Drosophila melanogaster: one gene and its partner. Changing the gene in region 1 together with any one later gene gives a genetic interaction. Each region holds a gene or a part of one and is shown in the gene's direction. Other genes may lie near its edges.

Region 1 (4,639 bases):
CACATTCTCGTCCTGCTCCTCCAGTTGGACACCCACTTCATGCTCGGCCCGCCTCCGCTGTCTGCCCGCCTTGTGCGACTGGCGATGGATGGCGAGTGAGATGCGGCGCTTGAAGGACTTGCCGCACTGCTCACAGCCGAACGGTCGCTCGCTGCTGTGGACGAGCATGTGGCGGTTGAGCTCGGATGTGCTGCCGAAGCTGCGCTTCTGGCACACCGGGCACGGGTGGGGCTTCTCCTGGCTGTGGCAGCGCTTGTGGGCAATCAGATTGCTCGAGTAGCGGAAGCGACGGCCGCAAATGTCGCAGCCGTGCGGCTTCTCGCCCGTGTGGGTGAGCATGTGCTTCTTGTAGCCCGACTTCTGTGTTAGCCTCTTGCCGCAGATGCTGCACTCGAATGGCTTGATTCCGCTGTGGATTAGAAGGTGTGTGCGCAGCGAGGACGCCTGCCGGTAGACCTTGAAGCAGGTGGGGCACCTGTTCGGATTGTTACGATCGTGCAGCGTGACATGGCCGTCGCGGGCGTTTCGCGTCTTAAAGGACTCTCCGCAGATTGTGCAAACGTAGGGCGTGGCCGTGCCATGTAGCTGCATATGGTACTTGAAGGAGTTGTTGGTGCTTAGTTGCTTGCCACAGATCTAAAGGAATGGAGGGAGAATTGATGACCTTCGGCTTTGAGTTATTTGCGAGCTGCGATGACCAACTTACTTTACACTGTAGGGAGGGATTGAGGGGTTTCCAAGGCCGGCTTCCACTGGGCAAAGTTTTCTGCGTCGCCGAAGTCTGTGCTGATTTCTCCACAATCTCGTAGACATCTTCGCCAGCTTTGGCCTGCAAAACGGGCTCCACTTGGAGGCACTCTTCAATGCAGTGGTCGTTGTCTTCTTGGCGAATTTTTGGCTGGCCATGTAGCCTCATGTGGTACTGAAAGGTCCGCTTCCTAGCCAGTTGTTTGCCGCAAATCTGCCGAAGATGGGAAACTATTTCGTGATTACTTACTTCTAATTCGGAAAGGCAACTCACGGGACATTGCAGCGCTGGCTCGGATCTTTCTAACCTGCTCCTACGTTGCTCCGGATCCGGATCGTCGACAATCTCGCAGAGATCGTCTTCGTGCTGTTCCAGTGCAATATCCAGCCTCTCCTCCTGTACAATTGGCGCTTCCAGCCGGCTCTCCGCCTCATCTGATTCTACGACCAGGAGTTGCTCCTCATCTCGTATCGTTTCTGCTGGATATTCAGTCACTTCCTGGTCATCGAGCACGAGTACAAAATCCTCCGGAATCTCGGTTGACAGCCTGGCCCTAGTATTCACCGCGCTGATCTTTTTGCTGCGGCAAAAGTCCGCATGACTCTGCCGCAGAATTCTGTCCATGCGATGGACACTCCGCTTGAATTCCAGCGAGAGCCGCAACTTGGCCACGCAGTCCGGGCAGATGTGGTGGGGCAGGAAGAGCTCCGCCTCTAGGATCTCCAGACCGCTGCAGTAGCTTAAAATGCTGGCCAGCGTCGCTGGTTTGCCGGAAATTGGATCGTCGAGCGGTTTGAAGAGCGGCAGGCAGCGCGGCGATGCTGTGTGGCACACGCGGCACAAGGCGTCCATGGGGGACGGCGGCGACATGGTCGTCATGGATTGAACTCGACAGTAGATAATACACGTTTAAATAAATAACTTAATTTAGCGTCCCGAACAGTGATGCCAAAGTCCAGCTGATGCGTTAGTGGTGGCACTCAAAATAGCTAGCCAGGCACATCAGCTTGGAAGTGACCAGAGGCACAGTGGCTTGGTGGTTGGTCAAAGGTTGTGTATTTCCATATTATTTAAAATATTTTAATTTAAAATTTTCTTAATACTGTGATTAGTCAGATTGCCGGAGGCAACATATGTACACACGCAGTTATCTGCAAAATCCCGCCAGATTTGGCTTGAAAATCGCCGATCTATACCTGCTGAGAGCCACGTGCTAAATGTACTAACGCCTGGTGCCGCCTGGCAGTGGACAGTATATAAAATCCCTAACGCCAACGCCGTGCCGGTGGGAAGTTGAAATTTTTGTTGGAATTTTTTATAAGTAAAAAGTCGCTGCCATCCGAGCAGGACTCGTGAACGGCTCTAGGACTCGATATCGGGAAGGAAGGGGGAAGCATGAGCATGAGCATGGCACCGGCCACCGTCCTCCAGTTGCTGCGCGGCCTTAGCACGCCGCGTCTTCTTACCCACATCCACCAGCACCGCGCATTGGGTAATCACTACCACCACTACCACCAACACTACCAGCACCAGCACCACCTCCTCCACCACCAGCAGCAGTACCTCCGACTATTCACTTGCACAGCACTGCCAGCGGCTGCTCCGGCGCTCTTCTCGATCCTGCACACAGCGCGTGGCTACAGCAGCACAACCAGTAAGTGATTCACGGTAGAGTCCTAAACAGTAGAGTCCTAAACATTCATCCTTGGCCACTTTCGTTTCGCAGAGCAGGAAGCTGGAGCCACTGGCCCCAATGATGCGCCCGAGGTCGCACCGAATGCCCCGCTGCTGGCCAAGCTCTTTCCTCAGACCTCGCCGGAGGTGGACAGCAACGCCGAGCAGGAGCGCAAGAAGCGCGAGGAGGAGGAGGAAAAGGAGAACGAGCGTGCCTGGAAGCGCATGAAGCTGGGGTAAGCTGACGCCCATTCAATGCGTAACAGTATTATAACAATACTTCCTGCTGCAGCTTTGCAATATTCGGAGGCAGCGCCGTGGCTGCTGGATTCTGGGCCGTCTACGAGTTCGGCAAGCCCGAGGTGGACCCCAACGGGCAGCCCATCGAGGACGAGTTCACACACAAGCCGCTGGTACAGCAGTATCTGCAGCGGATGTGGAAGAGCATTCACTACTATCAGCGCATGATCCAGGAGCCGTCGCGCGCCAAACTGCTGCCCGATCCGCTCAAGCCGCCGTACGTGCAGCCGCGCTACACGCTTGTGCTGGAGATGAAGGACGTGCTGGTGCATCCGGACTGGACTTACCAAACTGGCTGGCGCTTCAAGAAGCGTCCCGGCGTCGACCACTTTCTGGCCGAGTGCGCCAAGGACTTTGAAATTGTCGTCTTCACCGCCGAACAGGGCATGACCGTGTTCCCCATCCTGGATGCCCTCGATCCCAACGGCTACATTATGTACCGCCTGGTCAGGGATGCCACGCACTTTGTGGACGGCCATCATGTGAAGAACCTGGACAACCTTAATCGCGACCTCAAGAAGGCAAGTCATGCACAACGTATTTTCTATTGCAATCATCTATAAAGAAGGGAGTATTTTAGGTGATTGTTGTGGACTGGGATGCGAATGCCACCAAGATGCATCCGGACAACACATTCGGCTTGGCCCGCTGGCATGGCAACGACGATGATGGCCAACTGCTGGACCTTATCGCTTTCCTAAAGAGTAAGTTGCGCCACAAGTGACATTGAAAGCTAAACACTGACCCTTGCAATTCGCTACAGTAATTGCGCAGAACAACGTGGACGACGTGCGCGAGGTGCTCCACTACTATCGCCAGTTCGACGATCCCATCAACCAGTTCCGGGAGAACCAGCGCAAGCTGGCCGAACAAATGCTGGAGGCGGAACGCATCGAGCAGTCCAAGACCAAGCCAATGGTCAAACAGTGGTCGCGCAACATTCTCGGCCGCTAGGAGGCTGGCCATACCGCACAACCCGTTCCATACGCATACCTTAACCTTCCGCCTGCGCCGGAGCAACAAACACGCCCTGCAGCAGCACACTGGCCATATTTTTCGTCGACTTTTGGAGTAGTTAGTGGGAAGCAGTAGCAGACAGCAGACAGCAGGATTGGGAGGCACGCTCTGTCTTTTGCTCCTTTGGGAAAAGACGAGGCGCATGTTTTTGTTTTATTGAATAACTAAACTTGCTTGTTTTTGTTTTTTGGCAATTTAATCGTAATATTATTATTATAAAGAGACGACTTAACCGTAAAACCAAAAACAAGACATCCATGTGTTTCGTTACGAAAGTGGAGAACTTGCTGTGCGTTATCTAATCACAATTGATGGATAAGAGTGGCTAAACCTGCTGAGATAGTTATCGTGAAAACAAAATTATTTTTATGTATGTAAAAAATAAGTGTCGAATTTTCTTTCAGTTTTTTCTGGAACAAAAATCAGTTTTATTGAACTAAGTGTCTAATCCTTAGCCTAGGCTTACATTCTAGAGCCGCTCCCACGGCTTGGTGGCCGCTCACAGCACCATCACCACTTTGGAGGTGGACACCGGCTGCTCATGAACTTCGGTTATGTGAAGGTTGGTTGCCGATCCACCGGTCGCACCTCCACCGGTCGGACTTCCACCTGTCGCACCTCCGCCTGTCGCACCTTCTGCGCCCGCTTGTCGGCTGGGAGGATTGATGGACTGAACAGCAACGGTGGCCGTCACCGGCGACTCCTTGTTGTGGACGCGCATATGACTGGCCAGTCGCTTCTTTGTGGGAAAGGCCTTAACGCAGACCTCGCACTTAAACGGCTTTTCGCCGGAATGGAGGCGAACATGGGCATTGAGGTTGCTGGTAAAGGTGAAGGCATGCCCGCAAACATCACACTTGTGCGCCTTGACGCCACTGTGGACCATCATGTGCTTCTTGT
Region 2 (3,972 bases), on another chromosome or scaffold:
TTTGTTGTACATTTGTGTATTTGTGATTTTGTTGTACTTGTTTCTTATGCAGCCCCATGTACTGCGCTGTATGTAATTATGCATATATGCCTTGCACATACATACATATATATGGCTCTGCTGTATCCGTGTGGGTGTGTGTATTTGGTGTGTGTGAGTGTGGTTTCGATTGTGATTGCTTCCCGACCAACGTCGATCGCTCACAGCTGTTCAAGTGAACTGACTGCAAGTTGATTTGAGTTGAGTCCACAGCACGTAGATACAGATACATGCACCCATACCAGCGTCACATACACGAGCTGTCGCTGTGTGCGTGCCAGAGACCGAAAGAGCGCAGGTTTTTGCGAGAGTTTCCTGACTCGACGAGTCAGGAGCGGACTTGCGGTTAGTTCAGTTGCATTGGCATAAAAGTGCCTTACGCCTTCCTTATTTTCCATAAAAGAGTTATTTCAATCAGCATAGAATTCTTTATTTGATTCGGTGCCCCTTTAAGTCATCAATTCTTCACAGCGCCCTTCTGGCTGGCGCCACCCGCACTGCGCCCCTTGGTTTGATATCAACTGTTGCAGTAGCGCAACAGTGTTGGTGTGCTGTGTGCGGGGAGGGGTGTGTACATGTACGCTTATGAATCAGCTGTTCCACTGTGTATTAATCATATGGCTGTTTGATTAATCTGTACGTTTGCTTGTGTGTTGTATGCATGTATATATACGAGAATAAATACACATTACGTATAAGCGTGCAATATACATATGTGCGCATGAATATGAATCTGGCTTCTGTTTATTTCAGACGATTCCGAACGGTCTTGAGAGCGGAAAATCTGAATATTATACGTAAATATCAGATATTATATGTATGCCAGTACATACATCCTCAGAAAACATATGCATGCAGGCACTATGCTGCCATATACGAGATCTCGAATAATATGCATAAATGGCATGCAGTTAACGTAGAACACTCGAATATTATGCGAAAATATAGAGATAACTATATATATTAACAGATACAAATTCGATGTACATATGTACACATAGTATTTATCTACAGAATGACGCAGCGGAACATGCACTTGCATTTTCATACAGTGTCAGGTATAAATATCGGGTAAAGAACCATGTACATGCAGTGTACATACGAGTATGCATGATTTAATTGTACTCGGACACACGGAAGTAATCGAGTTGATCGCTGCGACCGCAATATTTCATCCTAAGTTTTAAGGCTGCGATATATTTATTTACATTTTATTCTTAATTTATTTCTTTTAAAATAAGCAAATCTCCCAACATACATAATTCTAACAATTGGAGTACTATAACTAGATCTGTCTTCGTCTTCATAAACCAGAATCATGAACGATGACTCATCAATCATATGATCAATTTTTAAAGTGACTTCCTAGGAGCTTATGATCCATAAATTTGTATATCGGTGTTACATCCAGCTTAAATAAAAGTATACATTTATCACGGTTACTTAATATTGCTATTAAATCGCAATAATACCTAAAAATGTTCACTCACGGAGAAAAATCAGATTATCAACAATAAACTCATTTTCAATCTGTAAATAGAAAAATATTTAAATAACCTCTTATTTTAATAAATCTGGAAAGCCCTTTTAAAAGTTTCAACAATTTGAAACTTGAAATTGAAATTGCCTATCGATAGTTTGCAGTTGCCCGTTTTGAATGGGACGATTTTGTGGGGTGCTTAAGTGAATGGTCACAAAAACAACAATACCCAAGGTGATTCAACGTCTGTTATCGATAAATTTTCAGCTCTAGTGAAAAAGTATGGAACTATTCTGGTATAAAACGTGTAAAACTCTGAATATTATTGTGCCTGGACTCTATATCTCGCTATATACGCTACAAACGAAAGCAGAACTAGCCTACAACTGAAAAACAGTAAAGTGCAAAGGATCGGATGCACGACATACGTAACATTTCACCATATATGTGCGTTATTTCACTCCATATTACATTAGTTAATCGCAGTAACCATGGATAAGTGTGTTTCAAATTAAGCTGGCCACCATGCCCCCCAAAGCCAAGTTCAAGAAAATGGCCATTCGCAAGGGATTCCCACCACACCAAACGCATACTTGTGTCTTTAAGTTCAGATGTCGAAATTTCACACCCTTATGGGCGCACTGTTTGACCCCTTCCTCTTTGTTCTCCGCCTGATTGCAAACATGAGTTCCCCTATCTACGAGCAATATCGGTTCGGGCCGTCACGTCCCCTCTCCGCTGGATCACGTACACTGTGGAAGCCAAACAAGGTGCATCAGGAGGCACCCGAGGTCAAACCGCTCGAAGTCCCCGAGGATTTGCGGATCCCAACCCTGCAGCCAGACCCCCTGAATCCGCTGGCCACCATGATGTCTTTCAAGCTAATGGCTATGGACGTAGTAACTCAAATGCAGACCGCCCTGCACAAGTGCGTCAACGCCCAGAGTCCGCCGGGCGCCAAGATGGCGGGAATCGAGTTGGACGCCTTGCGGCGTTGCGTACCGTCCTCGTGCTACTTCTTTATTGACCTGCATCCGCACCACGGCTTTAAGGATACCGCGGAGGATTGCCCTACTAGTCAAGCCTCCAGTGACCGGAATAACAACGCTGGCTGTTCGCAAGGATCGGCTGCCAAGAGCTCCTGGCAGCGGCAGCGTAGTATTTCCGAGTGCAGTGAGGACAGCTTCATTTGCTTTGAGGACGACGCAGAGCAGGCGGATGAGGATGTCGAGGAAGACGAGGATGATGATGACGACGACAGCAGCGTGCAGTTTACAGCATGCGGTGAGGATGAAAATACCGAGGAGCTAAAGGCCTGCCAGTGCAGCGACGACAGCTCGACTCCTGTCAAGAAGGTGAAGAATATTTTTGCGCGGCATAAGTGGGCATATCTAATTTCCTATTTATGCGCACAGGTTCGTTTCAACATGAAACCCGAAGTTCACGTAATGCTCGCCTGGGACTACGCTTATCGGGCTGCCAGAAAGAGCGAATGGCAGGTAATGGCGCGAGATCGGGATCGCTTTCAGCAGCGGATTCGGCGGATTTCACCCATTCTCAATGCCGTCCTGACTCCAGTTCACCGAGATCGTGTCTACCAAGCTCGATTCTTGCACGAGGACTAGCTGGTCCGCATACCTGAAGTAACTTTTGATGTACAGATTACAGTTTAGAACGATTACAGCATTAAATTCCAAGTTGTTTGCGTGTATAAAGTGATCGATTTAGCCACTGCGTTCGTGATTGATTTTATGAAGCCAAAAACTGTTTAACCTGTAAAGTATATCAAAACCACGTACACTTTTCTTCGCCTTTAGTTTTAGAGCCCTAAGAAGTTTGAATTTGTTGATAACGGGATTAGCATATACCTTAATATAACTTGAAATAAATTAAGCAATAGACGTATTTTACTGTGTGTTCTTCTTTTCACATAAGATTGCTTGCATTGTGTTCCAAATTCCCAAGCCAAACAAGTTTGGGTAAAGACTTTGTGTGTACGTGGGTGAGAGATAAGCTCTGAATAGAAACAGATAAGACGGCAGTTTGAAAAAATAGGTACGTTTAACATGGAGCAGTAAATTTCATAAATGTTATCGCGTTAATTCATTATTTATTTCATGATTCCTTCAGTCGTTTGCAACTTGGTTTTGGATCTCCGAAACTTATTTGGCCAATTGGTAAACTCCACCCGAGAATATTAGCTTGTGCTCCCTGACTTTTCGCTGGAGAAAGTGTTTCAGCTCATCCTGAGTAAACTCCACTCCGCCGCTGTGGGAGGCGAACAGCTTCAGCATCTGGTGGATTCGGTCAATTGGCATGGAGTCAAGATTCGTGAGCATTCCAACAATATAGGACCAAAAAACCTGCGGCATAATTGTATAAGAAAAAGCCGGAATTAGGAACAGTTGAAGGCACTTACTTGGAGTTCTTCTTCCCTTTGATCGCTGGCAGAA

The links. Genes that interact genetically often act in the same process or in processes that back each other up.
Region 2: of ttm50 (region 1) and PPP1R15, changing one suppresses a phenotype caused by changing the other (phenotypic suppression), as found in Drosophila melanogaster (one study listed by BioGRID).

Annotation. Positions count from the first base shown.
Region 1 is NC_004354.4:2,729,553-2,734,191, reverse strand, and holds ttm50 (tiny tim 50), read left to right. Parts: upstream 1-2,001; 5' UTR 2,002-2,143; coding exon 2,144-2,402; intron 2,403-2,474; coding exon 2,475-2,658; intron 2,659-2,714; coding exon 2,715-3,243; intron 3,244-3,302; coding exon 3,303-3,426; intron 3,427-3,485; coding exon 3,486-3,676; 3' UTR 3,677-4,115; downstream 4,116-4,639. Other genes in the region: CG2712 (uncharacterized protein), read right to left, coding at 1-636, 707-961, 1,022-1,627; dwg (deformed wings), read right to left, coding at 4,239-4,639. UniProt on the Drosophila melanogaster protein: Essential component of the TIM23 complex, a complex that mediates the translocation of transit peptide-containing proteins across the mitochondrial inner membrane.
Region 2 is NT_033778.4:23,975,050-23,979,021, reverse strand, and holds PPP1R15 (protein phosphatase 1 regulatory subunit 15), read left to right. Parts: upstream 1-1,766; 5' UTR 1,767-2,130; coding exon 2,131-2,874; intron 2,875-2,934; coding exon 2,935-3,144; 3' UTR 3,145-3,423; downstream 3,424-3,972. Other genes in the region: mr (morula), read right to left, coding at 3,682-3,882, 3,939-3,972.